2 linked regions of the Oreochromis niloticus genome follow. Each later gene encodes a partner of the first gene's protein in a complex. Links are inferred from orthologs where the notes say so. Each region holds a gene or a part of one and is shown on either strand. Other genes may lie near its edges.

The links.
Region 2: pole (region 1) and pole4 share a complex: the UniProt entries of both Homo sapiens proteins name them as parts of the DNA polymerase epsilon complex. The link is inferred for Oreochromis niloticus from reciprocal best matches to the Homo sapiens genes POLE and POLE4.

The regions. Positions count from the first base shown.
Region 1 is NC_031977.2:17,883,414-17,890,766, reverse strand, and holds the start of pole (DNA polymerase epsilon catalytic subunit A), read left to right. Parts: upstream 1-4,095; 5' UTR 4,096-4,280; coding exon 4,281-4,345; intron 4,346-4,452; coding exon 4,453-4,588; intron 4,589-4,675; coding exon 4,676-4,756; intron 4,757-4,848; coding exon 4,849-4,893; intron 4,894-4,969; coding exon 4,970-5,062; intron 5,063-5,888; coding exon 5,889-6,043; intron 6,044-6,139; coding exon 6,140-6,284; intron 6,285-6,379; coding exon 6,380-6,460; intron 6,461-6,563; coding exon 6,564-6,671; intron 6,672-6,757; coding exon 6,758-6,868; intron 6,869-6,955; coding exon 6,956-7,041; intron 7,042-7,353. UniProt on the Homo sapiens protein: Catalytic component of the DNA polymerase epsilon complex. Participates in chromosomal DNA replication.
Region 2 is NC_031986.2:41,693,015-41,700,380, reverse strand, and holds pole4 (DNA polymerase epsilon subunit 4), read right to left. Parts: upstream 3,329-7,366; 5' UTR 3,190-3,328; coding exon 2,944-3,189; intron 1,990-2,943; coding exon 1,905-1,989; intron 502-1,904; coding exon 460-501; intron 292-459; coding exon 278-291; 3' UTR 17-277; downstream 1-16. Other genes in the region: serine/threonine-protein kinase NIM1, read left to right, coding at 6,898-7,294. UniProt on the Homo sapiens protein: Accessory component of the DNA polymerase epsilon complex. Participates in DNA repair and in chromosomal DNA replication.

The sequences.
Region 1 (7,353 bases):
GACATGTATGATAATTGCCTGTGAATTCCTATCCTAGTTTTTGTAAAGCCTATCTTTCAGGCCTTGCTTGGGCACATGCACACACAGCGACCGGCAGTGAATGAGAGCTTGGTGTCCTAAGTTTTTAAGTTTTCATCGTTTCTTTTCGTTTCTATTGCTGGCATTGAAGGGATGCCAAATGCTGTCATTTTACTGTAAAGCAAATTTACCTCGCCTATGGCTATAAATAAAGTTACCTTGACCTTGACCTTGACACTGTAATGAAAGCCTTCAGTGAAGTCCCATATTTGAATATACATTAATAAAACAAACTTAACTCTGCAAAAGACAACTAATGACAATGTCTGAATGGTCTATAGTTGTATTTGAGAATAATGGAAAATAAAATATGTAAAGGACTTTATAAATAGGAAATTCTTAGTCACAAAAATGAAAAATAAAATGCTATTTTTGTTCAGCTTTCATGCTGGATTGACCAAATATGACATGTCGGACCATAAAAAACAAAAATATCAGTAGATAGTCTAATCGCAATAGAACTACATTCTGGAGTTTCCAGGTGGTACATTAAGTCTATCTGAGAGAATAATTTTGTTAAATATGTGGAGGATTTTAATTATCAAAAACCACATACACTTTGTCCTGGATGAGTCTGATAATTCATGTTAAGAATAAAATTTATTAAGACGCATTAAAAAGACAACAAGTAAGGACATAATCTTCTCTGAACATGCAAATAAATGCAGTAAATCAATTAAGATTCATTAAGCGGAATGAAAAATGAATTCTTGGTTCATATGAAACATTGTTGCATTTTTTTAAAGGACTGCTTTCATGTTTTATTTTTTATTTTTTAGATTTTTCCCAATTTTTCAGTGTAACTTTCCCAAATTACAGATCCTGACTAATTTTTAATGGCAGGAAAGGCCACTATCAGGGTATAAAGGATTGTGATACATAATGCAAAATTTTCAATTTCCAGCATTAAATTGTTTTTTGGAAAATATGGTCAAGTAAAAGGTGATTTGAGATTAAATGACCCCAAAGAAATATGGAAAAAAAGACATTTCTAGATTTTAAAAATGGGATAGACTGTTTTAACTTGCCATTTCAGGGCAAATGATGACTATAACAACTAAGAAAACAACTAAGTAATTGCTTTTTTCAGCCATTATTATGTTTTAATTGGGCAACTGTTCATATACTTAATGTTTAAGACTATTTTTTAAAAGATCACTATTATCACTATTAAATATTTGTCTTTCTCCAAGCATTGGAAAAAGCACAATTCTTTTGATGTCCAAACTTAATGAATCCCCATAAAAAATAAACTCCTCTTTAAAGCATGTTAAAATACATCATGACTATAAGAAAAACTGAAATACTAAGTCGTGTTTGTCTCTGTGTACTGTTTAAGTTGCTGATTTGAAGGTCAGAGGTCAGACACTCTCTCAGGACAGCAACACTGAAGTTCTTACTTTCATATATTAAGTAAATTATTCAGTAAATTCAGTCAAACAGAAGTAAGAATAAGAGAAGTAATTACAATCTCAGAGGTCACGTGTATACTTTAGGTGACTAAGTCCTATGCATACACACATGAGTGTGTTATCTATGACAGCTGGACCTGGCTGCAGGCTACATTTCCCAGCGAGAGTCCTGTAAACAGCCTGCCTGTAACAGCTGACATGGAGAGCATGCGCTGCTTCATGTGGGGTAAAGGTCAGCACTGAGGGAATGAAAGGAAGGGAAGTTCAGGTGAAGGAGGATGGGAAAGAAAAAAAAACATCCATAAAAAACAGCAGCAATAGCAGGAACACTTGAACACATCCAAATACAGAATCTAAATTAGACACATGCGTTCTTTGTCCCATTGAAAGATTTCATTGTTTATGTTTTTTTTTAGATAAAGAAAAAATATAAAGATTTATTAACATCCAGTCTGTATAATAGAAGCACAAAATTAGTGAATTTATCCTTTGGAGCAAATTTAAAGCTGACGCAAAAAAGGAAAAGGCTAAACCGTCACTTTCCTCGAGAAACAACAAGATCTGAAGGAATGTATTTATGAAATAGCTTTACTTTTCATTTTTATCTTTATTTTCTTAATATATATCCTGATACCATATAGCAGATGAATTATTTCTCTTGTGCTTTTCCTTAAAGAACAGACTTATTCTCACATGACTCCCTGTTTTAAATAAAAGTTAAGCACATCAATTTTTTATAGGAGTTTTTTTTTTTTTATGTCACTTTTAAAAAGGTGCATCCAACTTCTGGCGTGAACATTTTACCTTGTAAACTTACAAATATCTGTGAACTCTGACAGAAAAGTTGAACTAAACACAACAACTGATTCTGCCTGACATAAAAGTTAAATCAGCCCACTGATCTGATCTTTTCCAGAGTTCAGTCTGGAGAAAAACGGGACTGTCTTTTAAGTTAAAGTTAACGTGTAAATCAAAACATGCCATTGTCACTCACCTGCACACACTCAGAAACCGGGCAGCTCTGCTCCCGGGTTGTTGATTGCGTTGTTTCACACAGCCAGAGAGCAACAGTACCAGGCTAACCGATTTAAACCCACTGATTATTTCCCACACCTCCACACCACTCGGAACTTATCATGAATTAAAACACATCCGTCATTATCTTATTAATGTGACACAGACCCCAGAATCCCTCCAAACTCTACCGCTGCCAATGTCTTTATGATTATAGACAGTGCCTCGCCAGCAGCTACAAATGTCAAAGTCACCTACCACTACCTCCACTCCACAGCGGGAGAGTAAACATGTGCGTGGGGAGGGGGTTCCTCCCAGAGTTAAGGGTTCCTCTGAAGATCGTGTATACTCGAGATGTTCCTGCTCGATAGAAATCAGTAAGCATCTTCCGATTAGCGGAAAAATGTTTGGTTCGTCGGTCTTCTGTTGAGTTCATGAACAATGGGAAAAAAGTATACTTGAACTTTAAGACCGTTCAGTTCATATTAAAAAATCAATGTATCAACAAGCACCTTTTTTTTTCAAATAATGGAATCTGATTGATATGATGCCCACCTTTGTTTTCATTTCCTGTTTATTCTGTATTATGTGTGTGATGAACCTTTCCAGGAGTTGTCATCCTCCAAGAGCACCCAGAACAGTTAAGGTCAGTGATCACGATTCAATAATAAGAAAGAGACTAGGCAAAAATGGCACCCATTTTTGCCTAGTCTCTTTTTGCCATGAGGCACCCACTTCTGAACAAAAAGGACACAAAGGCTCGTCTCACATTTGCCAACAAAAAAACAGCTTCCCTTCCCAGATCCCTGAGATTTTTGTGGACTGATGAGACAAAAGCTGAACTTTTTGAGTCCCATTACACCTGCTGTAAAACTAACATAGCATTTCATAAAAAGAACACACTCAACAGTCAAACGTGGTGGTGGTAGTGTGAACAGCTTTGTTGCTTCAGGACTTGGAAGACTTGCAGTGATTGGTGAATCCATGAATTTTATTCTCTACCAGAAAGTCCTGCAGGAGAATGTCTGGTCATCAGATCATGCCCTGAAGCTCAAGGCTGGACTTGGATTATGCAGCAGGACAATAATCGAAAACACACCAACAAGTACACAACTGAATGGTTAGAAACAAAGAAACATTTTTTTTTAGCTAAATGAAGTTTTTGGAGAGACCGTGCCAAAGTCTAGACTCAAATCTGATTGAGATCCTTTCGCACAGTTTTTTTGTTTTTTGTTTTTTGTTTTTTAAGTCATGTCATATATGATATCATAGGTAATATGTGACAGGGAAGGCTGAATTTTACCAGGAAGCAGTAGTCTACCCAAAAAACTAGTAGTCTACCCAAAAAACTAAAATCAAAGTGTGTGTGTATATATATATATATATATATATATATATATATATCACGTAAACACTTTGCTTTCTAACGTTTTTTTTATTTATTTTGTTGTTGTTTTGTTTTTTAAAGGCACATCTATGAGCCCCAACGTTACAATGAACATGACATTCAACCTAAATAGATACGTCTCAACACCACCGTGAGGGATTCATCTCCCTTATTAACGATCTTTGTACTTCCGGTTCTCAGCTCCGTCCTCTCGCGGCAACTGCAGGAACGCGCCAAAATAGGAAAACAGCAGGCGAGTCTGTGACAGGCGCAGAGAAATCCAGCAGACAAAACTTTGAAATTAAAGCGACGTGTCTTCAAATGCGGCTTCACGCACACATTTAGCTGTTTTATTTTAGTGTTTTGTAACCAGAACATCGCGATAGAAGATGGTTCTGCAGAACAGTGGACGCTACAAAGCGGACCGAGGACCGAGTGGGGATCCGGAAAGCCAGTAAGTCCAGCAGCTCAAAAACTTCATAACACTTTCTTATTCAGAATATTAATGGATGACCGAGGACTGTGAGGATTTAGTGTCACTGTTGCGTGTGTTTGAACCAGGGATGATGGATCCTCCTTATCGGCCCTCAAGCGGCTGGAGCGCAGTCAGTTCACCGACGAGATGGACGCTCGCTTCGGATTCGACAGGATGAAGGAGCCGGGAGAGAAAACGGGCTGGCTGATCAACATGCACCCCGTGAGTCCTCGCAGTGAGACAGTTTTTACTTTCTGTCTGCTGCAAAATAAACACTTAACATTTATTTTTGATGCTCTGCATTTGTAGGCAGAGATCCTGGATGAAGACAAGAGGATGATCAGCGCGGTGGACTATTATTTCATACAGGAGGATGGAAGCAGGTTCAAGGTGTGTTTGGGGGGAAAGCAGAGTGCTGTAACGCAGCTTATTAAATGCCCTGCATTTTACATTTTCTCTCATGTATTCTGTCTGTGCTGTAGGTGTCTCTGCCCTTCAAGCCATATTTTTACATTGCGACGAAAAAGGTAAGTTAGTGACTGTGATTATGCCAAGTGAACATGTTTTTTAAAAAGTAATAAATAACAAAATGTGTATGTCCAGAACTGCGAGAGAGAAGTCATCTCATACTTATCTAAGAAGTTCCAAGGAAAGGTGGCAAAGCTCGAAATTCTCCCAAAAGAAGACCTGGACCTGGTGAGAGTTTCAACTGACTTTAAGTTATCTAATAAATAAATAGTTAGTAAATAAATAAGTCAAATAAATGTAGATAAATAAATATTTTCTATATTTATTTACACAGAATTAATGAAGGAATAGTTGGCAGTTAATTAATGGATGATTTTTGACAAGAGCGCCACCACAACACATTTTCAGTCATATAGAAATCTAATCTGTTTATGTATGCTCACCGGACACTTCATTAGATATGTCTCACTAGTACTGGGCTGGAAGGCTGGATGATCCATGCTTTCACGTTGCTTATGTCAGATTCTGACTCAACCATCAAAATGTCGTATCAACGAGGTGTACTGCCACTTACTGGATATTTTCCCTTTTTTTTGGACTATTCTCGGTAAACTCTAGAGATGTTTATGAAGGTAAAACTCAGCTGATCAGCAGTTTATGAAATACTCAGACCAGCCTGTTAGGCATGGCACGTTCAGAGTCCGTTAAATCATCTTTCCTCCACATTCTGATGCTCAGTTTGAACTTGAGCGGGTCGTCTTGACCACTTCTGCTTGTTTTTATGCATTAAGATGCTGCCATGTGATTGGGTGGTTTGTTTCAGTGAGCAGTTGAATGGCTGTACCTAAGAAAGTGGTCAAGTGAGTGTACGTCTTTTAAGAAAAATCTAAAAAAATATATCCTCTTACCACTGTGGCACTCTTGTCCTTAGTATTTAAAAAAAAAACGGCTCTTGAATATCAGTGTTTTTGAAGGTATCATGAACCCTATTGGCTGCTAGTGTTGACTTTGTACAGCCAATCACATGCTGATTCTGCTGATCTGGTCTCTCCAGCCAAACCACCTTGTCGGACTGAAGAGAAACTACATCAAGCTGGCGTTCAACACCGTGGACGACCTCGTGAAGGTCAAGCGTGAGATTGCCCCGGCGGTACGTAAAAACCGAGAGAGGGAGCAGTCCAACGATGCCTACACCTCAATGTTGTCAAGGTATCACCGAACCTTCGATCCCGTTAGATTCCTTTGATGTTCCGCCTGACGTTTCCAGCTTTATAATAACTCCCGGACACCTTTTTGTCCTTTTAGTGCGCTATCAGGAGGCAACGTGACCTCAGTGGATGAAGACGGGATGTCAAAGAGTATTTCAGATCAGTTAGACAACATAGTGGACATGAGAGAGTATGACGTGCCTTACCATGTGCGTGTGTCCATTGACCTCAAGATCCACGTGGTAAGATCAACTATATCTGGTTCCAGTGTTTTCCAGTGAAATGTTCCTCTACACCTGTGCGTGCTCTTCTTATCTTTACTGTCTTTATTTTTCAGGCTCACTGGTACAACGTTCGATACAGAGGCAGCGCTTACCCGCCAGAGATTGTACGGAGAGACGATCTTGTGGAGCGACCGGTATCAGGATTTTGTTGTTTTAAGCCTTCCATCATCCATTCAGAGTTATACAGAAGTTTTGATTTATGTCGGGGCTTTTCTGTGAAACGCTGTTTCCCTGCAGGACCCCGTTGTTTTGGCGTTTGACATCGAGACCACCAAGCTTCCGCTGAAATTCCCAGACGCGGAGACGGATCAAATTATGATGATCTCCTACATGATAGATGGACAGGTGAGGTTCATTTGCGTTTGATTTTTAAAGTTTTTGTTATGATCCTGTTTGTAATATCATCTAACAATCCTTGTGTTTTCACGTAGGGGTTTCTAATCACAAACCGAGAGATCGTCTCTGAGAACATTGAGGATTTTGAGTTTACCCCCAAACCTGAGTATGAAGGGCCATTCACTGTTTTTAATGAGGACAATGAGGTATGTAGCCACTAACAATAAAGCATTGATGTATAAAAGGCTGCTGTGTGTTTCTGTCAGTTTAATAACACGCTGTAACGGTTGCAGGCAGCTCTCATTCAGAGGTGGTTTGATCACGTTCAAGAAACAAAGCCAAACATCTTTGTGACCTACAATGGAGACTTCTTTGATTGGTAAGCCTATTTCCTGTTTCTGTAAAAGCCAGTTACTTACTTTAAAGGTGAAGTGGGTAGAATACATTACAGGCAGTGGCTGCAGTGAACACTTTATTATTTTTAAGTCCTTGGTTTCACTTCAGCTCAAGCAAAAGTGACCCAAGCACCAGTTCTTTGTGACACTCGTCCCTGGTGACAATAAGCAGCTACGACATAATGATGAAGCTGTTAATAGTGAATTATTTAAACTGTTGATTATATTAGATATTCAATATTTATTCTTATTCTGTTTGTTATACTGATTACTTTTCTTGATCCTCCACCTCTCCT
Region 2 (7,366 bases), on another chromosome or scaffold:
TGCACAGACTTCATTCTGTTGTTTGACATACTTTTATTTCTTGTACAGCTAATAGTATTTCACAAGTATATACAAAAAAAAGTACACATTTCCATCACAAGTCTTCAAAGTTAAGCATGAAAAATCTTGAGGAACCATCGTATAAAAGCATTAATAAATGTTGAATTTCAGATTTTGACTTAGAAAAGTAGCAGAAAGTTTCCAACAGTGAATTATGACCCTGTAATAAAAACTTGGATGGTTGCAAACAGTTTTGACCAGTCTCCTGAAGCAGTCTTTAATCCAGTGTGCCTGCAGAAAAAATAAAGTCAGTAAAACATATTCTGGTTCAAAACTGAGGCAATAAATTCAATACTAAGTGGAATACTGAATTTTGTGCATGTGACGAATTCAATCAGCATCGTAATGCAGACAACTTTAAAAGTTTATTTTTTTTATTTTTATCTTTGTATGGCTTACCTTCGAGAAATGCAAACTCATCTATGGCTTCTATTGCATTGTCTGCAGGGTCAAAAGAAAACAAATGATACAATATTATCACAATATTTTACTCATGGTGTCATATAATTGCGAATTAGCAACATTTTGCAAAATGCTGAGTATTGCAATGACGGATGTTGTGATTTATCACCTTTTTTCAACTGCAAATTATTTCCTCTAACTCTGTCAATCTGTTTTATCCAATAAGATAAAGTTATCTCACTTCAGTTGTCCTTTTTTTTGCTGCAAAATGAGATTCTCAAGAGAACTAACACTGTCACTAAAACCTGCCATAAATTTGCCATAACATGGAGTCAGTCGGTAAGTCATAAATGACATGCAATCTGTTTCTAATAATACGGCAAACTTTGTCAAAAATCACAAATAAGTCCAATCGAGTTGTGCTCATTGACATAGACTCCTTCAGAGTGATGGCAACATGTTGCCAATCTCTCTGCCTTTATCGATTTGATACCTCTGAACAAGCTCTCTGAGAGTGACTGTAGACAGACTAAGTCAAACTGCATCTGTTTGCAGAAAGCCTGCCTCCTATCAGGAGTGTTCAAAAATAGTTGTGAGTATGCAACACCTTCAAGCTCTGGGAAACCATCTAGTCACCACAAGTTACAATCAGTTTTAGAAATGTAAAAAAAGTGAATACAATCGCCATTTTTTTTTGTTTTGTAGCTGCAAGGAGCCTGTTGTCCTATTTTTACTTGTGACTGAGCCATTAGCTTGCTCTGAATTAGGACGTAGTGTGTCCAGTGTTGGATGTTTTTTTGGTTGTACTGATTTAATGTAAGTTTACTTAGCTAACATTATCTCAGGATTTTGGTGCATGAGATAAGCCCTCTTGTTCGTAGCATTCCTAGATTATTATTATTACAAACCATATGTCAAACACACAAACTAAACAGACACGGGTGCCTCAGGTAGGGACCGAAAAGTAAAATTGTTGCTGAAGACAGAACACAGGGGTGAGACACAGGGTATTTCTCTACTGAGTACAAAGCGACATGTGTAGCATGTTTTTGAGTTGTAATGTTGATATTTGAATCAGTCACAGAAAAGGAACAGGGGCCTAAAATTAAAGCACGTCCTGTTTCTTCAAGTCAAATCTCAGCGTGATGTAGCTGTTATTCTGAGAAATATGCACAACTGTCAAATTCAGGCTTATGAAGCAGGTTGTATAATTATCTTTGCGTAAGACACTGATCACCACTGGAGGGTGACTGTGTCTCTGTTAGGTTAGAAGCACACAGGCACAGAAAAGGCACATATATGAATGGGTGAAAGAGGCTTGCAGAAGGAAAGTGCTTTGATGTTCTTTGATAGAACAGGAAAATGCTATACAAGCACCAGCCCATTTTCTATTTATGCGAGTAGACTTTAAATGGAATAAAGCACATGTTTAATCCACTTACCCAAGTCTTTTCTTTGCAAAGTTTTCCTCTTCCCTTGCTGTGCATACACTAGAGCATCTTTGGCAATCATCTCAACAAACAACTCCTGTACAAAAAGAAATTCAAAAGAAATCATTCAAAATCAACCAGAGAAACTATCAGAAATAGATTTTTTTTTATTAACAGAAGCCACTGATAAAATATATTTGTGCTGAAATGCACCTGTTTTTGCACAACTGGCTGCTCCCTTAACAGTCACCACAGCAGATCATCTGCCTCCATGCCACCCGATCGCTAGCATGCTCTTTCACCGCATCAATGAACCTCCTCTAAGATCTTTCCTCTTTTCTTCTTGCCTGGCAGCTCCACAGTCAGCATCCAATATATCCACCATCTCTTCTCTGTACATGTCCAAACCATTGTCTCTGAAGTCTGTCTTTAACCCCAAAGCACTCAACCTGAGCTGTCCTTCTAAAACACTCTGTTTCTAATCTTGTCCCTCTTGGTCTCTCCCAACGAAAATCTGAGCACCTCCAGCTCTGCTCCTGCCGCCACCATCTCCAAACCTTACATCGTAGCAAGTCTCACTGACACCAGGTCTTGTAAACCTTCTGTCACACAGTCTCCCAACACTCACCTCCACCCTGCCTGCACTCTCTTCTTGACCTCTCTTGAGCACTGTTTGTCCCAGGTATTTAAACTCATCTACCTTTACTACCTCTGCTCCTTGCAGCTTTACTGTTACACCTGTCTCCCTCTCACACATGTATCCCATCTTGCTTCTACTAGCTTTCATTCATCTAGCATGAAGTTAGTTCAGTTTGACTCTAACGTTTTCGTTAGACTGTGCGTTTATTCCAAAGGTTAACCTAGACTAAAGTTTAAATATACTTCAGTAATTTCAGGTTGATAAATTTAGGTCATGGCTGATAAATAAACTAAAATGAAATATAAACATTTAAAAAATAGATTATTTACTATCTGCACTTAAGTTTGATAGCATCATATAGAGAGTCAGCACTCGTGTTACCAGGACCGGTTAGGATATCAGTGGTCTCACCGTGGCTTTAGCGATGATGAACACAGACTCCTGGCTGGCGAGGGACACGTCTGGGTCGGTCTTCATCAGAGCCTTGATGCGGGCCAGCGGGAGTTTGGACAGCCGGCTGTGGCTCACCGTGACTGGGCCCGTCTGCTGCTGGCCGCTGTCCTCCGCCTCGGCCCCGCGGGTCTCCTCCTCACTCTCACACCGGTCAGGGTCGTGCTCCGTTGCGGTCACAAGACTCGTCGTCACTGTTGCTGCCATTTTCTGATATTTTGCGCTAATTCTATGACTTAAGAAATAAACACACACGTAGAAACGACTACAGTTTAATAGCTACATGTCACAGATAATAACATCAACAACCGCAGCGGGCGCGCGCCAGCATGTGGTTCCGGGCTTTCGTGAGAAGGCCTGCGCTGATTCGTCAGTGAGTGCAGGCCCCGCCAACTAATCCTCTTCGGTGATTGGACAGATTGTGAATCCAGGCCTCGCTATTGGCTAAAGTTAAACGTCATTCACCGCACATTGCCGCCTAGATAGCGGGGTGTAGCCAGAGCCCTACTAACCAAGGGGTCGGAGTGTAGACACGAAGTCGCAGGTGAAGTTGGCCACAAATAACACTTTGCTATTGTATGGTTAAAATATATCGTTTTTATAACTTTGTAATTTTAGATTATTTTGTGTATGCGCTAAATGTTATTTTTTGTTACATTTCCCTAAAAGTGGGAAAACTCATCTTTACTCCTCAATATTTCCACTAGGGGGCAGTGGGAACAAACTATTAAAAACAACCCTGTACATCAGTACTGTACATCAATATACTCTATTATGAACTTGGTGAAATATAAATGGCTTATACAGACTTCAAGTCAGTAAAATTGCATTCATTTGAAGTTTTGTTTCTATCTGGTGTCCAGTATTAGCTCTACTTTTAATTATTATTGTTGCTGTTAGATTCAACGCACTGTGTGGATTCCTTCATCAGCTGACACAGAGGTCATCCAAGTGTGGCTGTGGTGTATGGCTATGGCTGAACACTTTACCATCTAATATCATAACACCTGCAATCTTTTTAAGCTCGCTGATTTTGTGATATTTAGAACTTGATTCATTTAAACTCTTTTTCTGGGCTCTCTTGTTATGTGAATACAGTATGATTAATCGGAAGCTGAAGTTTGCTCTTATGGTCTCATGTTATAGTCTTTATTAACTAATTCTCAGTTATTTCAGCTGCTGTTTTATCTGACAACAGTGTTTGGGTTTCAATTGAATGAATTCATAGATTCTCAGACATTCTTTTCATCCATATCTAACAATATTGGCATTTTATCCAATTATGGCATATATGTTCACATCATATTTTCTCCTGTGTAAAACTGAAAAAAAAAATTAAAAGTCTACAAAACCTCTATTTCAGAATATACTGCCGCTTTATTTTCCTTGTGATAGTTTCCCTCATATTTACCAAAATCTGCAATGCTTATGACTTTCTGGTAACTTGTCACTTTCACCGATGAGTACAGTGTTAGACCCACAAACCTTCTTCTTCTGCCTATATTAATAAAAACATCTTCCCTTCATATGCATTTTTAAGGAATAAATGGCAAAAAAGCCTGATGTAGCAAATAAGATAGAAATTAAAGCTCATATATGCAAATTAATATTAATTAATTTATTCTTATTTCATTAGAAGGTTCCCTAAACACTCTATTTCCAAAGAAAATTTAATTTTCTGGCAGTTATTTGAGAAAATCACTATATTAATATGCTTAATATGGTTCAGGCTTTAAAGTGTTAAAGAGCCTAAAGAGCTATTAAAGCTTAAAGCTGTGCATTTAGTAATCTGCTAGTTCTTTTATGTTTCTCTACGTGTTTGCGTGGGTTAGGGTTAGTTTTCCGTCTCTCTGTGTTAGCCTTGTGTCAGATTGGCAACCTGTCCAGGGTGTACCCTGCCTCTCACCCTATAGTAGCTGGAATAGGCTCCAGTCCACCTGCAATAGAGCATCTAAGCACATTAAACTCTTCTTACCTGAATATTTTAATGTATGAAGCTGTTTTCATTAGCACTTTATTTTATTCCAGAAAGTTATTATAACACTTTTTAGTTTTTATTTATTTATATATTTTTATATATTTTTTTTTAGAGCTTGACGTTGCCATCTGACAAACAATAAATATGGTCTAATGAAAAGAACGCCCACTAGCTTGCTTTCATGTGTAAGTTACATGAGCATTATCATCAGTAGGAAAGCGAGGCATGCTTATTTTTATTCTTTGAAAGTATCTTTGCAGCATTTCCATTGTGTCAGGTCATGTCAGCAGTCCACTAATACACTCTGTTAATAGGATTGTGAGGACTGCTTTAGTCCACTGAAGCTCCATTCACATGTTCAGCCACAGTCAGGTGTTACACTCTGAGGAAGAGATATGAAGGACTCACAGCTCCCAGGTAAAATATTTTAGTTTTATTACTGTTAATGATCAACTAATGTGATTTGTTTCTTTTTCGTGTTGTTTTCAGAATTAGATGTACCTTTTTAAAAAGTACTTTAAATCATCTGTATAGAATCTCTTATCAGCTGTAGCCTTGGTGATTAGTAAGATTTAGAAAACCCATATTTGGATGATTTAAAATTTTATTCTATTTCAGAAGTGCCAGATTGGCAACTGAATATAGCTCCACTCTTATATGGGAATTTTCCACAAAAGATGATTCAAAGCTACTCATTAAATCTCATTCATTGCTATTATTTTTCACAGTGACTACATCGCTCCAGTCATACAAGCAGTTACATTTACAGGTAGATTTAACAAGAATAATAGAAAAGCTGTTTCACATGGATCCAAATGCTGATAATAATCATCTGCCTGCTCAGTTTCATACGCAGTGTGGAAGTGTAATCCTAATTTGGCAGCTCTGTTCATTCTTGTTCTGCCAGTCTAGTCTTCATTAGCATCCTATAAATAGCTGTCTGCAAGCTAAATGGCTCTAATTCTCCATCTAAAAAACCCAAGTAATCCTCGGCTATATTTGATCGACAAAGTCCAAGAGGAGGAAAAACATAATCGCACTGTAATGTTTAATATTTGTTTATTATTATTGGTAATAGTTGACTGGCTGGTTCATTTTGCTCACAGTCATTTTTGAGAGGTTATGCGTGCTCTCCAAGATGCCCACACAGGATTCAAGTAGCCAGTCTGGCACCTGACCTGACTGTCGGGTCAGATTTGAGACTCTATGCAATGCTCAGACTGTACTGCACAATTTCCTGTAAAAACAAAAGAAACACCGTACGAGGCAATCGTTCGAGCCAAACCATTGTTCTGTTTGAGAGAAATTTGTACACTATCAAAAAAAAAAAATTAAATTAACATGCTGATTCTTAAGAACTGCGTCCAAAAAATGAAAACTTCAATTCCCAGAGCAGAAAAAACAGGAACGGTCAACATCCTGCTTTTGTCCATTAAAAATGAAAACGGACATATTGAAATCCATTTACCATGATCCAGAAATCATGTTTCCTGCATAGTAATCACAACACTAACCCCGCAGAGGTGCGGTGTTGAAAGTATTTTCAGAAACGGTGTGAGTGGAAGCTCTAACCAGGAGAAGAGATTCAGTTTTATTCATTTCAGATTATACTTTGTTTTTGTTCTCCTAAAGCAAAAGAATATAACATTAGCAGATGAGTGATAGCAAAATAAATTAAAATCCAGTTTGCCACATTCTTGTCCATCATAGCATCATTTTCAATAATATCCACTGACAGTTTAAAAGTGCAGATAGAAACTAGGGTTAAATTTAGGCAGAATACAGCCTGACGTTTTGACTTATGTGGGATGTACAGTTACATACCAAGTAAGTTGGCATTGAGGTCAATCTTATTATCCATGTCCCATACAGCTCTACTTACACAACTTGTGTGCGCACTGAGTTTTGCACACACAAAGGTGTTTGTCTAAGAAGCGATGTCGTCTCGGTCTAAAGGAAATCCTAATATTTCTGCTATTTCACACAGCACTGCTGCAACATTTTCACACTATTTTTGCTTTTACTTCCAAGCCATCAAAATGCGTCTGTGGCCGAAACAGAAAACAAGCAAAAAATCCAAAGATGACTCTCCGAAGACGCAAAAACCAGCCAAGCCCCTGGCTTCTGCTGCCACGTGTGCCATCCCGCAGCTGACTGACGCAGAGAGGATGAAGCAGTCTCCGTTTGAGAGGATCGTCTATGACATGACCCACAACGAGAAGATCGTCAATGACCTCGTGCTCGGTAGAAGGGTCGGCTTTTACGAGCTGCGTGGAGAAATCGGGCAAGGCAACTTCTCTACAGTTAGGCTGGGCATCCATGCCTTGACGAAAGGTAAAGAACCATCAGTTATTTAGGATGTTGCGTCCCAGTTATTCAGTCACCGTTAGTCATCTTTTTTATGTG